Stegostoma tigrinum: one gene and its partners. The protein of the gene in region 1 purifies or fractionates together with the protein of each later gene. This does not show direct contact. Links are inferred from orthologs where the notes say so. Each region holds a gene or a part of one and is shown in the gene's direction. Other genes may lie near its edges.

Region 1 (7,076 bases):
ACAATTTAAACATTTTCTGGGTGATGTTTGAATTTTACAACTAGACACCCCTCTTGTCCAAGAGAGCACTTCAAAAACAACTGAAGATGCTGTAAATCAAAGAACCATGGAAAACACTGCTCATTCTTTTTGGTAGTTATGTATAAACAGGAAATCTGGTGAAGGAAAAACTATACACCCATGACTTTTTAGTTTTTTTTTAACTTAAATAGATTATTTCTTGTGGATTTTGAATAATTTATTTGTGTTAGTTTGCACTCGGGTATATATTTCTCATTTTCAATTTCATAATTTTCAATTTGTTGATAAGCTGCAGACCATTAAAATTGTGGTTAATCTTAGGAGATAAAAGGGTTAAACTAATGTGGTCCCTTTTTTAACACAGTGGATGGTACAGATGGACATTTAAATAGGACAGAATATGGGGAAAGTAGTCATTCTCACAGACATACCCCCCCCACCACCACCGCACCTTTGAATAAAAATTGCTCTTTGGCCACATTGGCCATTTCTCTATTTTCTTCTGAGAAAAGGTTTATGGCCTGAACAATTGACTATATTTCTGGAATTCCTAGCAGATGGCTGGATTATTTCTATCCTCTTCTGTTTTACAGATGGCTAAATTCTTCAATTGAGAGCAAACTCTCTCAACAGCTTTAAATATTTGCAAGTTTCAACTATAACTGTGGATTAAATCTTGTTTCTTTCCCAAACCCTACAACCAGTTAATGTTGCCAAGGTTTGCAGAGAGTTAAAACTTCTGTAAGTGTGCATTTTACTTTATAAGTTGAGATGGTGACATTTGTTGTAAAAGACAAACCAGTCTCTATGTAGGTTGATTGCGAAAGGACAATTTTCTGACCAGCTTCTTCTATTACCAAGTGACTTGCTGGAGAAAGAATTGAGTAAAATAGAATGGAAAATTTCTCCTTGCACAGAAGGCATTAGATCGGGACTCTCTTGCTCTAGCTGATGGTATGATTATGGCTTATCCACATTGAATTTTTTTTGTTTCACAGGGTTGCAGGCAAGTCCATTTCTGGCAAAGAACCCAGTAAGGCCTTGTTCTTAATTAACTATCTTTATTTAAATAAACTTTTAAATAAGTGAAAATGCCTTGCTGTTTTTTGAAGTAATGGCATTCTGTTTTCTTTTCATTTGAGCTGTCAGAAAGGGTCTGATCATGCAGCATTCCCTCAGTACTATTCTTATGTCAACTTAGGTTATCTGGAGTGAGATTTGAACCTGTAACCTTCAACCTGATGTAAAAATGCTGCAGCATTTAGACTTCTTTTGAGACCTAGAAATCCAGTTAAGACCATAGAAAACCTAAAATAAATTGAGGTTAAGTACTGCATATTTAAAATAGGGCTCTATTTACTATTTACCCTGCTTGAGTACTTTAATACCTTGGCATAGGAGAAGGGTGAGAGATTCAAGGGTGTAAGTGACCCTATTATTTTAACTGCTCCCACAGTTTGTCTTTGGGTTGATTCTCTGCCTATCTATAATATCAGTCACACCAGAGGAAAGGTGTCTAGTGCCTCCTCTGATGGGAATTTTAGGTTCGCTCACTGCTGAGGTATCTGGCACATAAAATGTTCAGACTATACATTAGGATCAGACATACTGATCTCTGAGAAGTTGGACATAGGGCCTATCTTGGATGTGGGTCAGGTTAGGCTAATGAACAAGGTCCAAAAGTAATTTATTAGCACAGGTCAAATGGTGGTGCCTTCATTTGCTTTGAATATTACCATAAGGTGGAAGATGGCTATGCACCCAAATATTTTTCATTTGCTGTGATAATCTGAATGAAATGCCTGGCAGGATGCTCAAATCTCTATCCTAAGGAGGCTTGCAAAGAAGCCAAGAAGGCCATACGTTATCAAATGTGGGAATCACTAGCTTACACTAGAGTAAATTTGCAACACCTCCAATGGGTTGGCTTGCAAACCTACAATGACTATAGGCAACACAAGTCAATGATGCATGCTACAACTAAAACTGCAACAGCCTCATGTGATGTGTTTGTGCTCGCCTCCTTAGCCAATAACACTCAATCTGAATTCAATAAAGCAAAATACTACAGATTAAGTAAGGCAAATCAAGGCAGGACTTAGGTCCTGGGAGTGTTGCTGAATAAAGAGGTCTTGGGGTGCAGGTTCACATCTCTTTGAAAATAGAGGCACAAGTGGACAGGGTAGTGAAAAAGCAAATGGTGTACTTGCCTTGAGTATTGGATTCAAATCTGGTCTTCCTGCTGTAGGAAAGAGATTGTTAAACTTGAAAGGATTCAGAAAAGATATTGCCAGAATGGGGCGGGGGGAGGGGGGCGCGGGTGGTGAAGAGGGGGAGCTGAATAGGTTTGGTGTATTTTCCTTGGATCGTCAGAGTCAAGGGATGAACTTACAGGTTTATAAAATCATGAGGGACTTGGATAAGGTGAAAGCCAAGGTCTTTTCCCTGGGGGTGTCCAGAACTAGAGGTCACAGGTTTAGGATGAGAGGGGAAAGATTAAAGATAGAATTGCAACATTTGACAAGCATCTGAGACAAAATCTGAATTGTGTCTGAGATAATGTTATTTTTTAGGGATGCAGTAGGGGAAGGGGAGATTTTGAAACTGGTGAAGTCCACATTGATACCATATTTTATTTTTTAGGGATGCAGTAGGGGAAGGGTTAGGGTTAGGGTTAGGACTCTCTGATGAAGGGTCTAGGCCCGAAACGTCAGCTTTTGTGCTCCTGAGATGCTGCTTGGCCTGCTGTGTTCATCCAGCCTCACATTTTATTATCTCTGAATTGTGTCTGTTGCCTGTGTACCATCTTTCTTGGAACTTTAAAACTGATCCTTTTTGCATCAGAGTTATCAGTTTGGAAACGTTAGTCTGCTTTTTCTGCGAGGATGCTGCCTGACCCGATGTGATCTCCAGCATTTTTGTTTTCAGTTAGTTTGTGAGAAATACGGGATCCTCGTGAAGGTCTAAATCCAAGAGAGGCCCCTTCAGTTATAGCTACTAACGCATTACGACTTTAATGTTTTTATTGTTGTGGCAGTTGCCCTAAGCTGCTAAAGAACTTAACGTAAAATTTATTTGCTACACTTATGTTGCCACCTCTTACCTCCTTTAAGATACTTAAAATTTGCTTATTTGACCTCGCTTTTGGTCATCTAATATTTGTCTTGGGTAAGTGTTATGTTGTTTGATAATGCTTCTGTGAAGGGCATTGAAACATTCTTCAATGTTGAAGATTCCATAAAAATCAAAGTTTTAAAATAACTATTCCGTCAAATAATAGTCAATGTCTAAGAAAAAAAATACAATGTTTCATCTTCGACTCCAGACCATCCAACACTCGAGGGAGACCGACTCGTTGCTTCGTTTGGAGATGAATGTACGTTTCAATCCACAGCAGTCATAAGATGTCTAAGCCCTTTATACAATCTCAGCTTGTGCTACCGAAAGGGTATCATTTGAAAATTGAGGCGCGACTTTGATTATTTGTACTTCCTGCCCACTTAATTTAGGAAACTATTTTTGTAAATAGATATTTTGAGAAGTCCTAAGGCTATCACATTTTACAATTGCCAACAGGAAGCGATATTAGTATTTCGAATGGCGTTAAACGTGTTAATGTAATTTGGTTCCGTAAATGTCGTGAAATTGTATTACACGTTTAATAATATAGTTATTAACACGTAAATATTACAACTCATTCACAGCTGTAAGCTCCGTGCGCATGTCCATTTGATAGTAACCCCACAATGCATCAGGAGCTCTGATGACGTAATGTACGTTCGGCCGCTTGCTCCCTCATTTCTTACGGAGACGGCCAATCCGCAGGCGGCGGACGGATCACGCGGAGTCATCATCCTCCACCCGAAGCAGGGTTCGGGTATTTCCGACCAGCTACTAAGGTGCTTTCGGCAGTTTTCGTATACTTGGCTCCGCCTCCCTCATCCTTCCTCCCCTCCCCTTCCCCCTCCATCGGTGGACGGAACGTCAGGAGGAAAAAAAACTTTAAGATCAACAGCCGCCATTTTGGTGGAAAATTTCATCCGAAATTTCGGAGGAATTGAACGGCGTCGGGAGCTGTGCTCGCTGTCTTGAGTATTCCTCAAAACCCATATTCGGTTGCGAAATCCACATAGCCGTCAAATTATTGCGAGTCCGGGCGCCTTCAAACGGTGGAAAAGCGATAAGAGAAAGGGGACCGGCTGAAGGGGAGGGGGGAGGTGGTGTTTAAAAATCCGTATCCCCTTCGCTCCGCCGTACCAAGTCTTTGGGTGAAGTATTGTTTTCATCGGCTCAGCCGGCAGCGGTCTGGCGTCAGTCCCCGGCCTGGTCCCGGTCCTGGCCCTGGCGCTATACCGAAAATGCGGCCTGACTGATCGGCTCGATTTTATGTTTTTTCCAACTGCATATTAAAGTGAAGATAGGGGTTGGACAGCTTTTTTGTTCCCTGTGTGAGGGGGGGAGTGGAATGGCGGAACAGGGTGTCGCGTTAGGGGAATGGCGCTGTGGCTGAGGAGGAGCGGGCTCTCGGTGCTAGTCAAAGGCCCCAGGGCCTGCCAGAGTCGCTGCTGTGTCCGTCTTTATCCCGCCCCCTCACCCCCCTCACCTTTCATGTTCATTAGATGAAACTAGCTTGAAAAGGGAGGGGGGAACGATTTATACGCATACACACGTATAAAATATATATATAATAAAATGGCCGAGAACCTACTGGATGGACCGCCGTCAGCCAAACGGCCCAAACTCAACTCGCCGGCGCTCTCTGCCAGTGACAGTACAGGTAAGGAAGGGACATCGCCTCGGACAACCGCGGAGTATAAGTAGTTGCATAGCTGCCCAACACTCCTCTTTGTGGATGGTAAATAGGAATGGAGTGCGTATGTTTTGAAATTGAGGATTTTGGCAGAAACTTAAAACCGTGTTTCTTTTGGTGGGGAAGGTTATTGATAGGTTTTGTTCCTTCCTTCACTCCAGCTCCCGATCCCGCAAAAGTAAAACTAGCAGTGTTTACGATCGTTTATTTGGGAAGGTTTGAGCCAGAATGGCTCAGTAAGGTGTTGAAGATCATTAGATGTTCTGAGATATTGTATATTTAGAGACAAGTAAGAAGGAATTATATTTGAGAGGATATTGATTGGTGTAAATCTTCAGCATTGGTTACGAAACTCATTTCGCACTTTTTATGTTCGATCGTTGATAGATTTGCACCATAATTTTCGCGTGAGCAAATACCAATAAAATTAGACCTTGGTTTCGGTGTGATGAAATAAAGTTTGTCTCGCACATTTGTTTAAAGTGTTATAACATTTGAGAAATTAGACTAGTGGTGAATTTCGCTGGTAGAAAGCATTTCGTTTAAACTAATGGAATACGTAATAAAGTAGAATAATATTTATCAAACGTCTGCTGATTAAATATTTTTTAGTCTTTCAACTGACTTGTGACAGGTGAAATCGTAATTTGTTAACTTCACGTAAAAATGTATAACATGTAAGATTGCAGCATTTGTTGGAAAATATGCATCTGATACTGTGTGTAAACCGTGCATGTGTCGCAAGTAGCAGACGTCCGTATTTTGGGCATTATTTTGTAAATAGAAACTTGTAGCGGTGAATTGCGTTAAGGCCACTATAGTTGGCGGAAGCCCAGGGATTTATAACACCTCCCTGTTACTGTCCCGTGGATCCTGGTGAGCCAAGTGATCAATGTTATTGTCAAAATCTTAATAATATTTGCAGCTTACCGTCAGGTATGCCAACATTTAACGGGAGAGATGCAACTAAAATGCAGTTGCCTGTGCAATTTACGTATTTTTCGTTTTGCGATAATTTAATGAGTATCCCAACTGACACTAGACTATATTGGAAGGCAATAATAATTATCGACAGTTGAGTTTATGGGTGAGATTTTTAAACTAGTATATTATACTATTAATTCTGCAGTAGTGGTGTTTGATGTTTGCAGTGAACAAATAAAAATAAAATGAAGTGTTTACTTTGGTAGACTATTTACCCCATTGGGCCATTAAAATATGTGAACAAATGAATATTTTAAGCTCTACTTTCATCTTTTGGCAATTAATTGTTGTCGGATGCTACACCTGTGCACATGTACAATCACTGGGTGGTGGATACTTTGGCGCATTCTGTCCTTGAAGCTTGAACTGCAGCATATGATGTTTTAAATTATGCAGCATCACATTGAAGAAACATAGGTCATTTGTATGTTCACAGACAGTTGTGCAAGTTGTAGAGTATCATCACTAAGGTTTGTGAGACCAAGATTTAAGTAATCATATTATTTCCTGACCTTTTTACCTTTGGAACTACCCCCACTGCTGTTGTATAAAGTCTCTTTTCACAATGTGCAGGCCTGTGTTTTGGCTTCTAAGACTGTTACAAGTCATTGTAAATGTTTTTATTGGAAACATGTTTGAAACACATTACACACTTCAGAAATGCTTACCATTATAACAAATAAGGATACTTGTATATGTATGAGGGTTTAATAAGTTGCACTGGTGATTTGCTAAACAGATTATTCTTCTTAAAATAGCATCAGGCACTGGTCAAATTTAGTATATTCCCTACAAAAGGTTTTGGCTTGTTAATCAGTATTTACTATGATGCCAATATTTAAAATGCAATTGTTGGCATAAATGATCTCAAACTTCTGCAATTGTATGAGAAACAATCAATTTTTTTTATTAAAAGTGGCTATTTTCCGAACTCCTTTTAAAATTAGAAACTAATAGACGTAGCTAATTGCCACACAAATCTTGATATATTTGGAAGTTTGTTAATAAAGATTAAGTTGTTAGAGTTGGTTAACTGTTAAAAACTTAGCAAGGTATTGCTCATTAAATAGGATTTTAAGAATACATATTTATGTATTGTATTAAATTATGCCTCCGTGTTGTGTTCATCTTTGGGTAGATTTTATCTTTAATACAAAATGCTTATAATATGTGAATAGTGCACTTTTACTAATCAAATGCTAAAAGCGAATAACTTCTGTTTTACAGATTTTGGATCCCCATTTGATTTAGAAAATGACTT
Region 2 (8,055 bases), on another chromosome or scaffold:
GTCTCCCCCAATGACCCCTGTCTCCCCCAATGACCCCCTTCTCCCCCAATGACACCCCCACCTCCGTCTCCCCCAATGACCCCCACGCTCCGTCTCCTAAAATGACCCACCCTGCTCCGTCTCTTAAAATGACCCTCGTCTCCCCCAATGAGCCCCCTGCTCACTGTCCCCCAATGACCCCCCCCTCCGTCTCCCCCAATGACCCCCGTCTCCCCCAATGACCCCCCCGCTCCGTCTCCCCCAATGACCCCCCCGTCTCCCCCAATGACCCCCCCCGTCTCCCCCACTGACCGCCCCCCTCCTCCGTCTCCCCCACTGACCCCACGTCTCCTCCAATGACCGCCCCCCTCCTCCGTCTCCCCCAATGACCCCCGTCTCCCCCAATGACCCCCCCGCTCCGTCTCCCCCGATGACCCCCCGATCCGTCTCCCCCAATGACCCACGTCTCCCCCGATGATCCCCCCGCTCCGTCTCCCCCAATGACCCCCGTCTCCCCCAATGACCCCCGTCTCCCCCAATGACCCCCCCGCTCCGTCTCCCCCATGACCCCCGTCTCCCCCGATGACCCCCCCGCTCCGTCTCCCCCGATGACCCCCCCGCTCCGTCTCCCCCGATGACCCCCGTCTCCCCCGATGACCCCCCCCACTCCGTCTCCCCCATGACCCCCGTCTCCCCCGATGACCCCCCCCACTCCGTCTCCCCCGATGACCCCCCCACTCCGTCTCCCCCAATGACCCCCGTCTCCCCCGATGACCCCCCTCCTCCGTCTCCCCCACTGACCCCCCCCGTCTCCCCGATGACCGCCCCCCTCCTCCGTCTCCCCCGATGACCCTTCTTGCTCCGTCTCCCCCATTGACCCCCCCGCTCCGTCTCCCCCAATGACCTCACCCCGCTCCGTCTCCACCAATGACACCCCTCCGCCCCCAATGACCCACCTCCTCCGTCTCCCCCAATGACCACCGTCTCCGCCGATGACCCCCCCGCTCCGTCTCCCCAATGACCCCCGTCGCCCCCGATGACCCCCGGCTCCGTCTCCCCCAATGACCCCCGTCTCCCCCAATGACCCCCACGCTCCGTCTCCTAAAATGACCCACCCTGCTCCGTCTCTTAAAATGACCCTCGTCTCCCCCATGAGCCCCCTGCTCACTGTCTCCCAATGACCCCCCCTCCGTCTCCCCCAATGACCCCCCCGCTCCGTCTCCCCCAATGACCCCCCCGTCTCCCCCAATGACCCCCCCGTCTCCCCCACTGACCGCCCCCCTCCTCCGTCTCCCCCACTGACCCCACGTCTCCTCCAATGACCGCCCCCCTCCTCCGTCTCCCCCAATGACCCCCGTCTCCCCCAATGACCCCGTCTCCCCCAATGACCCCCCCGCCCCGTCTCCCCCAATGACCCCCCCGCCCCGTCTCCCCCAATGACCCACGTCTCCCCCAATGACCCCCCCGCTCCGTCTCCCCCAATGACCCACGTCTCCCCCGATGACCCCCCCGCTCCGTCTCCCCCGATGACCCCCCCGCTCCGTCTCCCCCGATGACCCCCCCCGCTCCGTCTCCCCCGATGACCCCCCCCGGCTCCGTCTCCCCCAATGACCCCCGTCTCCCCCAATGACCCCCTTCTCCCCCAATGACCCCCTTCTCCCCCAATGACCCCCTTCTCCCCCAATGACACCCCCACCTCCGTCTCCCCCAATGACCCCCACGCTCCGTCTCCTAAAATGACCCACCCTGCTCCGTCTCTTAAAATGACCCTCGTCTCCCCCAATGAGCCCCCTGCTCACTGTCCCCCAATGACCCCCCCCTCCGTCTCCCCCAATGACCCCCCGTCTCCCCCAATGACCCCCCCGCTCCGTCTCCCCCAATGACCCCCCCGTCTCCCCCAATGACCCCCCCGTCTCCCCCAATGACCGCCCCCCTCCTCCCCCAATGACCGCCCCCCTCCTCCGTCTCCCCCACTGACCCCACGTCTCCTCCAATGACCGCCCCCCTCCTCCGTCTCCCCCAATGACCCCCGTCTCCCCCAATGACCCCCCCGCCCCGTCTCCCCCAATGACCCCCCCCGATCCGTCTCCCCCGATGACCCCCCCGCTCCGTCTCCCCCAATGACCCCCGTCTCCCCCGATGACCCCCGCTCTGTCTCCCCCGATGAGCCCCCCGCTCCGTCTCCCCCATGTCCCCCGTCTCCCCCGATGACCCCCCCGCTCCGTCTCCCCCGATGACCCCCCCGCTCCGTCTCCCCCATGACCCCCGTCTCCCCCAATGACCCCCCCACTCCGTCTCCCCCATGACCCCCGTCTCCCCCAATGACCCCCCCCACTCCGTCTCCCCCATGACCCCCGTCTCCCCCAATGACCCCCCCACTCCGTCTCCCCCATGACCCCCGTCTCCCCCAATGACCACCCCCACTCCGTCTCCCCCATGACCCCCGTCTCCCCCAATGACCCCCCCCCACTCCGTCTCCCCCATGACCCCCGTCTCCCCCAATGACCCCCCCCACTCCGTCTCCCCCATGACCCCCGTCTCCCCCAATGACCCCCCCCACTCCGTCTCCCCCATGACCCCCGTCTCCCCCATGACCCCCGTCTCCCCCAATGACCACCCCCACTCCGTCTCCCCCATGACCCCCGTCTCCCCCAATGACCCCCCCCACTCCGTCTCCCCCATGACCCCCGTCTCCCCCGATGACCCCCCCCGCTCCGTCTCCCCCGATGACCCCCCCCGCTCCGTCTCCCCCATGACCCCCGTCTCCCCCGATGACCCCCCCGCTCCGTCTCCCCCATGACCCCCGTCTCCCCCAATGACCCCCCCCGCTCCGTCTCCCCCGATGACCCCCCCCGCTCCGTCTCCCCCATGACCCCCGTCTCCCCCGATGACCCCCCCACTCCGTCTCCCCCATGACCCCCGTCTCCCCCGATGACCCCCCCCACTCCGTCTCCCCCGATGACCCCCCCCGCTCCGTCTCCCCCATGACCCCCGTCTCCCCCGATGACCCCCACCCCACTCCGTCTCCCCCGATGACCCCCCCCACTCCGTCTCCCCCGATGACCCCCCTCCTCCGTCTCCCCCACTGACCCCCCCCGTCTCCCCGATGACCGCCCCCCTCCTCCGTCTCCCCCGATGACCGCCCCCCTCCTCCATCTCCCCCACTGACCCCCCCGTCTCCCCCGATGACCGCCCCCCTCCTCCGTCTCCCCCGATGACCGCCCCCCTCCTCCGTCTCCCCCATGACCCCCGTCTCCCCCAATGACCCCCCCCGCTCCGTCTCCCCCGATGACCCCCCCGCTCCGTCTCCCCCATGACCCCCGTCTCCCCCGATGACCCCCCCCGCTCCGTCTCCCCCGATGACCCCCCCGCTCCGTCTCCCCCGATGACCCCCCCCGATGACCCCCCCCGCGACCCCCGTCTCCCCCGATGACCCCCCCCGCTCCGTCTCCCCCATGACCCCCGTCTCCCCCGATGACCCCCCCCCGCTCCGTCTCCCCCATGACCCCCGTCTCCCCCGATGACCCCCCCCCGCTCCGTCTCCCCCATGACCCCCGTCTCCCCCGATGACCCCCCCGCTCCGTCTCCCCCATGACCCCCGTCTCCCCCGATGACCCCCCCCACTCCGTCTCCCCCGATGAACCCCCCCACTCCGTCTCCCCCGATGACCCCCCCCGCTCCGTCTCCCCCGATGACCCCCGTCTCCCCCGATGACCCCCACCCCACTCCGTCTCCCCCGATGACCCCCCCCCACTCCGTCTCCCCCGATGACCCCCGTCTCCCCCGATGACCCCCCTCCTCCGTCTCCCCCACTGACCCCCCCCGTCTCCCCGATGACCGCCCCCCTCCTCCGTCTCCCCCGATGACCGCCCCCCTCCTCCGTCTCCCCCACTGACCCCCCCGTCTCCCCCGATGACCGCCCCCCTCCTCCGTCTCCCCCGATGACCGCCCCCCTCCTCCGTCTCCCCCGATGACCCCCCCGTCTCCTCCGATGACCCCCCCTCCTCCTCCGTCTCCCCCGGTGACCCCTAGTCTCCCACAGTGACCCCCCTTCTCCGTCTCCCCGGGTGACTCCCAGTGACCCCCCCTCCGTCTCCGTCTCCGTCTCCCCCGGTGACCCCCCAGTCTCTCCCAGTGCCCCCTCCTCCGTCTCCCTCAATGACCCCTGTCTCTCCCAGTGCCCCCTCCTCCGTCTCCCTCAATGACCCCTGTCTCTCCCAGTGCCCCCTCCTCCGTCTCCCTCAATGACCCCTGTCTCTCTCAGTGCCCCCTCCTCCGTCTCCCTCAATGACCCCTGTCTCTCTCAGTGCCCCCTCCTCCGTCTCCCTCAATGACCCCTGTCTCTCTCAGTGCCCCCTCCTCCGTCTCCCTCAATGACCCCTGTCTCTCTCAGTGCCCCCTCCTCCGTCTCCCTCAATGACCCCTGTCTCTCTCAGTGCCCCCTCCTCCGTCTCCCTCAATGACCCCTGTCTCTCCCAGTGACCCCCCCTCCGTCTCCGTCTCCCCCGGTGACCCCCCAGTCTCTCCCAGTGCCCCCTCCTCCGTCTCCCTCAATGACCCCTGTCTCTCCCAGTGCCCCCTCCTCCGTCTCCCTCAATGACCCCTGTCTCTCCCAGTGCCCCCTCCTCCGTCTCCCTCAATGACCCCTGTCTCTCCCAGTGCCCCCTCCTCCGTCTCCCTCAATGACCCCTGTCTCTCTCAGTGCCCCCTCCTCCGTCTCCCTCAATGACCCCTGTCTCTCCCAGTGCCCCCTCCTCCGTCTCCCTCAATGACCCCTGTCTCTCCCAGTGCCCCCTCCTCCGTCTCCCTCAATGACCCCTGTCTCTCCCAGTGCCCCCTCCTCCGTCTCCCTCAATGACCCCTGTCTCTCTCAGTGCCCCCTCCTCCGTCTCCCTCAATGACCCCTGTCTCTCTATCTCCTTTCTCCCCCCATCCCCCAAACCCGCAGTCGAGACTCTGCGCATGCTCGCTGGCTGCCAGCCCCGCTCGCGGTCTTACCGGCCGTTTCTCTTTGTTCCATTAAACAGCGCGAGCGGCGCCTCCAGTCCAGGTAAAAGCCTCTCGGCTTCTCATCTCTCCAGGACCGGGGGCTTGTGGGCGGGTAACCGGGGCTGGGCAGCGGGGAGGGACCGGCGGATGAACAAGGTCCGCTACCGGTTTGCTGTTGAATGAGGGGCGGCGCGGCTCGGTTGCCCCGGCGCCGCTTTTATTGTTTAAAAGACGAGATTGAGCTGCAGGCCCCGCCGCTCGAGATGGTGGCGCATTCGGACTAAAATTAATTAGTTTATATTGCGATTAATTCAAAATATATTGTTTAGCCAGATCTGAACAGCGGAGGGAACTGCCTGGCTTTATTGCACTGTTCGATCAGCTGTATTATTCTGTACATGTGTGTGTTTCTCACGTTAGCGCTTTCTGCGTGGGTAGCTGCTGAAGGAACAAAGCATCAATCTCTGTTTCTGCAAAGACATGTTATTTGTTAGTTCAAAAGAAAACTTTATATTTGCTGCATAGGCGATACTTTTAAATATCTCTTGTAGTGTGTTAGGAAACATCCATGGTATGTTTTAAGTTGCAATAATGCCGTATGAATATGACCCCGTTTGAATGTTTTCCCTTCCCCTTTTGTTATCTCAATAAATCGAAAAATATAGTCGTTTACAAGTTTTTGTTATGATTGTAGAGCTATCTGTTGTGAATTGATGCTGTACCCTGTTGAATATTGTTGTTTATAGATTTTCCATTTCTTTTAAGTATTTTGCATATGTGAGCCTGGAAATCGGGATGTGTTGTTTATGATGTGGTTTCAGTGATGACCTAGTTTATTATTTAAAATGCAATGTGGATGTTCATAACTAATTTCAAAGACTAGAGTTGCTGTATAGTCAGTTTCTGTTTTTTTTTATTTCTTATTTTTCCCTGACCCTGATAGCGTGAACCCAGCTAAGTAGACAAGTGTTTGAAGTTCTTAAAGACGAAAGTACAATGCTTTGAACAATGCAGTGTTGCCTCCTGCCTGGAAAGTTCTGCTCCAGACTAAGCCCTCTTCCCACATACTTCTATTAACCAACTATGGTTCACAGAAAGGGAGAATTAAAAGCAGCTCTGTTATAAGCTAACTTTGCTTCCTGTTGGGTGCAAAGGATGACATTGACAGATGCAGCCGTTCACGGTTCAGCTCATACAGCTTTCCTGTGGAGGCTATGAAAAACTTGAGTTTATTTTTATTTAAAATTTCATTTTCCTCTCAAAGATTTTGTGGGGTTCAAGAAACTGCAGACATCTCTTTCCCTGGCAAGATGGACAAACTATTTGATTGTAATAGGCTTTGCAACAGAGCCAATCTGTTCTCTTCACAAGCTAAGAATGAATAAATGGAAAGACTGGGCAATTCAGCATGTCAGGCAGATGTTTCATCAATTAACATAACAAGAATTTGGAAATTTATATAGTTTCTAAAAGTTGGTGAATGAGGACAGAGCAGTGATAGGGGTTGAACAAAGTGCAAAGTGATAGTGATTATGAGTTGGAATGGTGACCATCTATCTACCTGTTGATCTCACATGGAAGTAATGATCTTTCTCTTTCTCATCTTACACATGTGGAAGATTTATCTACAATTGAATCCCTCCAGATACAGATTTTCAAAAATGTGGTGAACTTTACATAGGAAGGACAGCCCCTGCAGCGATACAGTGTCCTTGGGTTGCTATCCTGTTGAGCTGGTAAGAGGCATAAGCTTAAATCACGAAAGCAGCATTTTTAAAAAGCACTGCTAGCTGACCTCAGCCAGTCAGTTGTTCTGACAGAAAAGTGTAGGTTGTGTTTCAAAACATGATCAATTCTGCATAAAATAAATGAAAGATGGAAGTATATCATTCTTTGAGCAGAAGGCTGAGTTAGGGCAGCTCTTCTGTGTGGTAGAGTAAGCACTTGCTTCAAAGTGGAGAGGTCATACAGGGCAAGCTTCAGAGCCACTTGACATTCAGATCTGCCAACTTCATTTGGTCTGAACTTTTATCTTGTCAATTGGACTGTTTAATTGGAGGGATGACTCAATGAGAGATGGGAGAAAACACTTTGTTTTGTTCTAATTTGTTTGTAAGAGTACATTGTAGATATATTTTCTCCTTAAGATTGTTATTACTCTTTTCCAACTCACCAAGTTCCTTTGTAGAACTAGCTACAGTATTTCCTTCAGCAGGAATTGCCAGTCTGAGCTCAGATGCAACTTGGTCTGACGCTCCCTGCTTGTGACTGTGTAAAGATGCACTGAGTATTTCTCAGCCATCCCTAAGCAATGGTAGCTCTTGGGATTGGCAGCTGTGTGGACTGTAATTCAAGCCTGCATTGTGCATTCGCATTCTTATTGACTAGTGTCATCAAGGCACTAATATTTTGATGGATTGCTGGGAAGTTCATTGAAGTCGCTACTTCCTAAATGGCTTTGCCCCTCTAGCCCATAAGATGAAATTTGTGATGTGCCCAGTAGGACAAAGAGTGAGCTGTGGAGAAAACTCTGTTAGAGCACAGTACAAAAACAGAAATTGCTGGAGAAACTCAGTAGGTCTGGCACCATCTGTGGAGAGAAGGTGGAGTTAACGTTTCAAGTCCCTCAGACAGCATCTTCCAAATTAGAAGGAGAAGGACAGCATCTTAAAGTTCCCTCCGAGCCACTCACCATCAACGTTCCTTCACTGTCACTGGGTCAAAATCTTGGAATTCCTTATGCATTGTAGATTAACCCACAGCAGGTGGACTGCAGCGGTTCAAGAAGGCAGCTCACTACCAGCTTCTCAAAGGCAACAAGGGATGGGCAAGAAATGCTGGGCCAGTAATGCCCACATCCCAAAAATGAATAAAAAAAAGTCCAGTGACCCTCCCTCAGAAACAATCCGTGATTTCATTCCAAATGTTCAGCCAGCAACAGGCATTTGTATCAAATCTTAAACTTCCAAGGCGTCAGACAACATTTGACATGTGTTGAACTCGAGTTTGTAAATCAAGAAAATTTGAACAACTCTTCACTGCTTTTATCTTTCAAACCCATATTTTCAGTCACTCTCTTTCACCAGC
Region 3 (7,463 bases), on another chromosome or scaffold:
AGATAGAAGTGGGCGGTGTGGCATTGGGGAACGATGAGGTTGGAGGCTGTGGGATGGAGGTCACCTGAGGTGATGAGGTTGTGCATGGTTTGGGAGATGATGGTTTGGTTGTCGGGGTGGGGTCATGATCAAGGGGGCGGCAGGAGGAGGTGTCGAAGAGCTGGCACCTGGCCTCGGCAATGTACGGTTCTCCACAGGTCTCGGCCCACTTATTCCGGACTGCCACAGGACTTGACCACTTGCTCTGGTCCTCCCTGAGTCTTGGTCATGCTTGCTCCGGTTTGCCGTGGGTCTTGGCCCACTTGCTCCAGTCTTCCAGAACTCCACACAGGGGGACGGGGAAAGGGGTAAAAGACCTGGCCAGCAGAGGTATTCCAACTATTCCTACTTTGCCGCCATATTGGACTCACTTGGGATGGGCAATAAACGTTGACCAGCTAGCAACACCCACATCCCGCGAATGAATACAAAAAAAAGTGTCTCCTAGCTTGTTGTGGTTGTGTGACCTCTACCATGAGACACTCCCTGCAGGCATTCATCTTACAGTAATTTCAAATAAAAGAAGGTACAAGCCAGATTTTGTTCCGACTTGTAACAATCTTCTCAATAATGGGGAAACAGAGATTTACAGTTCATGGAGTCATAAGAACAGATACGGACCCTTTAGTCCAATTTGTCCGTGCCAACCAGACACCCAATCTGACCCAGTTCCAGTTGCCAGCATTTGGCACATATCCCTCCAAACCGTTTCTATTCATGTACCCATCCAGATTCAATTTCTGGATCACAACATCACAAAATGTTGTAAGTTGATGTGATGTAAATGGACTTGATAAAGTTCCAGGTAACAGGCCTGTAATCAAAGTTGAAGCCTATGGAATAAAAAAAAAGTAACAGCATGGACACAAAGCTAGCTTGAATGACAGGAAAGATTAATACTGTAGTGGTGATGGTTGCTTTTTGAACTTGAGGAAGATGTGCACTTGCATTCCCTGGTTGGTATTGAAGAAGTGTCTAAAAAGTTTAGTATGAATTGTCACAAATGCATAAATGACTGATTTAAAAGCAAGATCATTAATTTGCTTGACTTAGACCGCTAAGATTTTTAAAAAGCACCAGGTTCATTTAATAAACAAAAAGACTTAAACTTATTTATTTTAACAAGTTTATCCTTTAACAAGTGGCAATTAATCACTACTGTACAAACTTAAACTATACCCCCTTTAAACCTAAACACTCAATATTCTTTCACAAGTAGGAGGAGACATATCATGGGTAGGGAACATAAGGGAAAAGGAACAAATTCTGTGGATCAAGACTCCAAATGACAAAAACGCAATAAGATAACTTTCTCATAGTTCTTTTGGTTTTTGGCAATGGTATTGCATTGTTGTTGACTGTGGTGATCTCCAGTTCAGTAGCTAGTCAGTTGGATTTAAGTTGTTACTTGAGTTAGAAGCTCTATTTTCAGCATCTTTAGTGCTTTATTTATCCACTCAGAGCAGACAGCAAAAGATCTGTATTGCACATCCCTTCTTGGAAGTTTTAATGCCACTGCGCCTTTCTCAGTTCTGTGACACACCGCAACTTCAAACAAATCCAAAGTACTTGGCGGACAGTGCTTTTTGAACCCAAAGACACCTGGTGCTAGCGAGTCTCACAAAGCAAATAGCAACAGACATTTAAGGAGGCATTTCATGACTTGCAGCAAAATTATATCCCAGTAAGGAAAAAAAATTCTAAGGGGGGATAAACTAACCATGGTTAACCAAGGAAATTAAAGAGAGCACAAAGATGAAAGAAATAGCATTTTGAAGATAAAAGTCAGTGATTGCCCCGAAGACTGGGACAAATTCAGAATCACCAAGAGGACTAAAAAATAGTAGAAACAGGAAATAAACAATGAGGGCAAACTAGTAAGAAATACAAGAACTGACAAACAGAGCTTCTTTAAATACATTAGATGAGAGAGTTCAAAGTGAACATGTCACCCTTAGAAAATGAATCTGGCAAGATAGTTATAGGGAACAAGGTAATGGCAGAGGAGTCCAACAGATACTTTGCATCAGTGTTTACAGTGGAAGATATTCCAAAGTGCTATTAATACTAAAGGATATGGGGGAGGAATTAAACACCATCATTAGAGAAATAATATTATGGAGCTTAAGGTAGTTAAGTCCTCTGGCTCTTATAGCTTGCACCCTAGGATCTTGAAAGTGGTTACTGCTATGATATTGGACACATTGGTTGTAATTTTTCAAAAATCTTTGGATTCTGGGGGAGAACTGGAGGATTAGTAAACTGCTGTGACATCTCTATTCGAAAAGTAAGGGAAACAAAAGGCGGGTAACTATAGGCCAATTAGCCTAATGTATATTGTTGGAAAAAGGTTGGAATTGATTATTCAGGAAGTTATACCAGCATGTTTGAAAAATCATAATCTCATCAAGCAGAGTCAACATGGCTTCACGAAAGGGAAATCGCGCCTGACTAATTTTCTAGTTTTCCGAGTGTCTCAACCAAAGTGTATAGAGGGAAACCAGTAGAGGTACAGGTAGTTCTGCCATAACGCTTGTTTCGCTGATGTGAATTGGCTGTCACGTGATTGATGAACGGTGGACACTGTTTGGATAACTCAAACTTTCTACTGTATAGTTTAGCGATTTTGTATAACGATTTCCCTATAACATGACTTTCCAAAGCGATTTTCTATAGCGCAAACTCATGTTGGACTTTCGAGTTCTTTTTCCTTGACTTATTCTAAGTTAATGTGATTGGCACCATGTATGTATGGCGAAGGTGAACACTTTTCACTGTTTTTACGTTGAATACATGTGAGAATAAATGATTCAATTCAATTCTTTCACATGAGATCACACAAGCATTACAGGAGAAATAACTGTTGCGTTCAGACTTCTGGAAGGTGTTTGACAAGGTAGTTTAAACCCACCAGAAAAAAACATAATCTATAATTGAGGGGAATGATGATTTAAGATAATGTTAGAGTCAAGATTTTACATTATGAAAAGAAGTCTTTCGGCCTCTTGGTCCAAACCAACCATCTATCTATTCTCATCCCATTTTCCAGCAGTTGACCCATAGCCTTGTTTGCTGTTGCATTTTAAATGCTCATATAAATGATACTTAAATGAGTGAAGAGTTCCCACTGCTACTATCTTGTCAGGCACAGAGTTAGATATACACAACCCTGAGGGCAAAAACCTTTTTCCTTAAATCCCCTTGATACCTCCTATTGCTAACCTTAAAACCATACCCAAAGCCAGCCCAGTTCGTCCCCTCCCCCCACTGCACCACAAAACCAGCCCAGCTCTTCCCCTCCACCCACTGCATCCCAAAACCAGTCCCACCTGTCTCTGCCTCCCTAACCTGTTCTTCCTCTCACCCATCCCTTCCTCCCACCCCAAGCCGCACCCCCATCTACCTACTAACCTCATCTCACCTCCTTGACCTGTCCGTCTTCCCTGGTCTGACCTATCCCCTCCCTACCTCCTCACCTATACTCTCCTCTCCACCTATCTTCTTTTCTCTCCATCTTCGGTCCACCTCCCCCTCTCTCCCTATTTATTCCAGAACCCTCACCCCATCCCCCTCTCTGATGAAGGGTCTAGGCCCGAAACGTCAGCTTTTGTGCTCCTGAGCTGCTGCTTGGCCTGCTGTGTTCATCCAGCCCCACATTTTATTATCTTGGATTCACCAGCATCTGCAGTTCCCATTATCACTCACCCTATTTTCAAACCGTTCTTCTAAGGAGAAGTTATTCCTTAGAGGTTTGTACGCCTTAATCAAATGCCTCCTTCCCCCTGAGGAAAACAACTCAAAACAAAGAACTGCGGATGCTGGCAATCAGAAATTGCTGTAAAATCAGCAGGCCTGGCAACATTTGAGAAGAGAAAGCAGAGTCAATGGCTCGGGCTTAGCGACCAGTTCCGTTCTGAAGACTGGAATTACTTTCTCTCCGTTATGCTGCGTGGTTTACTGAGGTTTTTCAGCAATTCCACATTTTCCCAGCCTTGATTCGTGCAATTTTAATTTCATTCCACAGCCATAATCTCTTTACGCTGGCAGGTATTGGACGAAAAAGACGGAAAAAACATTCCCACCCTCACCTGACGCAGCATTGGGCAGAAACACCTACGGCGAAATTTGGAAAGCAAGCCGCCGCCGGTAACCAAGGCGACGGACTGTACCCATGTTGACGTCGCATCACCCCATCAGGCCGGCTGGCCCAGCGATTGGCCGACCCACATCTCGTGTTTGCGGCCAACACCAACGGACGCCGCTCGCGCCACCGCTCGATCAACACGCGCACCGGATGGGGTGAGGCCACCGGGTCACGGGGGCGGGGCATGAGGAAAGGGGGCTGGCCAAGATGGCGGCGGCGGCAGTGGAATTGCGAAGAGAAATGATAATGTTGGGTTAAAGTAACAGGAACCTAAACTGAGATACAGGAAAACGTAACCCTCTTAATATCGGAATCCCTAGCATTCGACCCTTAAAACAATGGAGGGTGAGGATATATCGTTTGAGAATATGGACCCCTCACTGAGTGAGCTCAGTGAGGGGCTGAATTTTGGGGATATTGATGGTGAGTTAATGCTTTATGTTTCCTCCCAAAATGTATGTTAGTCTGTTTAAAACCAACGTATACAAATGATCATTCTGAATGTACAATAGGAATGTTAGGAAATAGGCTGGATGGAATTATGTGTAGAATCTTATTATTTGTGTTAACAAAAACAAAGTTGCTGGAAAAGCTCAGCAGGCCCGGCAGCATCTGTGGAGGAGAAGACAGAGTTAACGTTTTGGGTCTGGTGACTCTTCCTCAGAACTAGATCCGAAGCGTTCACTCTGTTTTCTCCTCCACAGATGCTGCCGGGCCTGCTGAGCTTTTCCAGCAACTTTGTTTTTGTTAACACAAATAATAAGATTCTACACATAATTCCATCCAGCCTATTTTCTAACATTCCTATTGTACAAAGTTGCTGGAAAAGCTCAGCAGGCCCGGCAGCATCTGTGGAGGAGAAGACAGAGTTAACGTTTCGGGTCCGGTGACCCTTCCTCAGAACTAGATCCGAAGCGTTAACTCTGTTTTCTCCTCCACAGATGCTGCCGGACCTGCTGAGCTTTTCCAGCAACTTTGTTTTTGTTCCTGATTTACAGCCGTTCTTTTGATTTTTACTTATTATTTGCGTAATTGTTTCCTTTGTTTACTGTTAGTTACCATCACTACTCATCTGATATTTGTTTACTAACTTTTGGTTATTGCACTGACAGTAAATTGTAAAATGTAGAATGGAGAATGTGATCTGTGTGTAAAATCTGTGATATCAGAATCATGATAATGTGGTAACTTGTAAAATATTGTGATAACAGAGCCTCTCTGATTCTTATTCACAACAGTGTGCATTTATATCTTTAACATAAAATATCCCCTGCTGTGCTGGGCATCTGGTATTAAATGAGCAAAAATTACTTCTTGTTAACTGTTCTGGACATTGAAGCAATCATCATTAGATCCTGCTTTAAACTCCATTAACTGATCTTTTTTTTTATCTCTGCCTGACAACTGTCTGAAGCTGAACCAAATTGCCCACAATTGGGGTGTCCGGTTTGGCCCTGAATTTAACTTCAGACTACATCTTCTCTCAGACTTTCTCCTGAGAGTCGCCAACACTATATGCTTCCTCCTTCTCAACATTGTCTATTTCTGCCATGGCCTGTGCTCAGTTACTGAAAACCTCATCTGTACTTTTGTTAGTTTTAGATTTGCCTATGCTAGTGATCAATTGGCCAGCTTTCCATCTTCCACACTCGATGTACTTAAACACATCCGAGTTCTACTGCCCATGACTTAACCTGCACCAAATGCTGTTCATTTGTCATCTTGCTCTTGCTGCAGTACATCAGTTCCTGCTTTGGCAATTCTGGATTACAAATACCTCATTTCCTTTCAAGGTCTTCAATTATTGTTGCTTGTTTATCCCTATTTCCTTCACCCCATTATTGGTAGCCATGGTTTCAATAATTTATCCTATGTTCTGCAGTTTTCATCTGAAGCTGATCACTGCATTTGTCTTTACCGAGGGCCTGCTTAAAACCTGCCTTTTTGATCTGGTTTTTGTCTTAAATCCTGCTTCTTTGACTTGGTGTCAATATTTTGTCTGAAAGTGCTCAATGGAATATTAAGCTAAATCAAAGCTACTATATAAATGCCGTTCATTGCTATTTGGTTGCTTTACTCAGGAATGATCTATCAGTTTGATACCAAAAGAGAACATTTTGCCAGATGCTGGCTGAAATAATGGATTTTGAAGAATGAGTAGGTACTGGCATTTATGGCAGAATCTAATGATTTTGGCTTTGATAGTCCAAGTACTTAATTGAAAGAAATTTTTTCTTATACAATTGGAATTCTGTTCATCAAATACAAAATAAATAATTAACCTTTTGACTTTTTTAAAAAAGAGATCCACTCTCAATTTTATTTTTATTACATTGCTAAGTTCATATATTTCTTCATGTCAACTAACCTATAAAATACAGGACAAACCAACTTATTGATAGACTAAAACCCTTTTCATTTTATAACCTTTGCCCATTTGAAGGATGCCTTGAGGGCATGAAAGATATTAAGTATGTAAGTTTTTTTTGTGAATTAAAGTCTCTGATCATCTTTGGAGAAAATATTGATGGGAATTGGCAGCACGGTGGCTCAGTGATTAGCACTGCAGCTTCACAGTGCCAGGGACTTGGGTTCGATTCCAGCCTCGGGTGACTGCGTGTGGAGTTTGCACATTCTCCCTGTGTCTGCGTGGGTTTCCTCTGGGTGCTCCGGTTTCCTCCCACAGCCCAAAGATGTGCAGATTAGGTGGATCGGCCATGCTAAATTGTCTGTAGTGTTCAGGGGTATGTGGATTTTTGGGGGATGGGGATGGGTCTAGGTGGAAGGTTCAAAGGGCAATGTGGACTTGTTGGGCCAAAGGGCCTGTTTCCATACTGTAGGGAATCTATTCAAGAATGAGGTGGAGTAGCATGGGAGGAGGCTCCGGAAAAGCATGTAAACTGACACAGACTAGGATGGTAACTTTTCTGTGATGGAATCTGGTCTGTCACCTTGAAAACAAACCAAACTCCATCATCAGCATTAATAAGGATATATCACTTGGTTTACTGTAAAATTTGATGGCCACAGATTAGCATCTGTTATAGTCATAGTATTACAATTTGTTCTCGCCTTTGAGCATTTGCTGATGCAAGCCATGTAGTCAGCTGTAGCTCAGTTGGTTGCACTGTTGCCTCTTATCACAAATTTATGGGCTCAAGTCCCACTGCAGCGGACTTGATTACAAAAATACTCAGGTGGCCTTTTCCACAGATTGAAGATGAGAGACTGAAAATGTTTATCCTACTCTTCCTCTCCATGGATACTGCCTGACCTGACT

The links. The genes of interacting proteins can lie anywhere in the genome.
Region 2: the proteins of crebbpb (region 1) and smarca4a purify together in Homo sapiens (affinity purification with western blotting; 3 studies listed by BioGRID, with this or other methods). This does not show direct contact. The link is inferred for Stegostoma tigrinum from reciprocal best matches to the Homo sapiens genes CREBBP and SMARCA4.
Region 3: the proteins of crebbpb (region 1) and srebf2 purify together in Homo sapiens (affinity purification with western blotting; 3 studies listed by BioGRID and IntAct, with this or other methods). This does not show direct contact. The link is inferred for Stegostoma tigrinum from reciprocal best matches to the Homo sapiens genes CREBBP and SREBF2.

What each region holds. Positions count from the first base shown.
Region 1 is NC_081376.1:32,962,531-32,969,606, reverse strand, and holds the start of crebbpb (CREB binding protein b), read left to right. Parts: upstream 1-3,966; 5' UTR 3,967-4,713; coding exon 4,714-4,798; intron 4,799-7,042; coding exon 7,043-7,076. UniProt on the Homo sapiens protein: Acetylates histones, giving a specific tag for transcriptional activation. Mediates acetylation of histone H3 at 'Lys-18' and 'Lys-27' (H3K18ac and H3K27ac, respectively).
Region 2 is NC_081388.1:12,627,749-12,635,803, forward strand, and holds the start of smarca4a (SWI/SNF related, matrix associated, actin dependent regulator of chromatin, subfamily a, member 4a), read left to right. Parts: upstream 1-4,939; 5' UTR 4,940-5,029; intron 5,030-6,587; exon of another isoform or gene 6,588-6,704; intron 6,705-8,055. UniProt on the Homo sapiens protein: ATPase involved in transcriptional activation and repression of select genes by chromatin remodeling (alteration of DNA-nucleosome topology).
Region 3 is NC_081391.1:4,387,250-4,394,712, forward strand, and holds the start of srebf2 (sterol regulatory element-binding protein 2), read left to right. Parts: upstream 1-4,347; 5' UTR 4,348-4,521; coding exon 4,522-4,606; intron 4,607-7,463.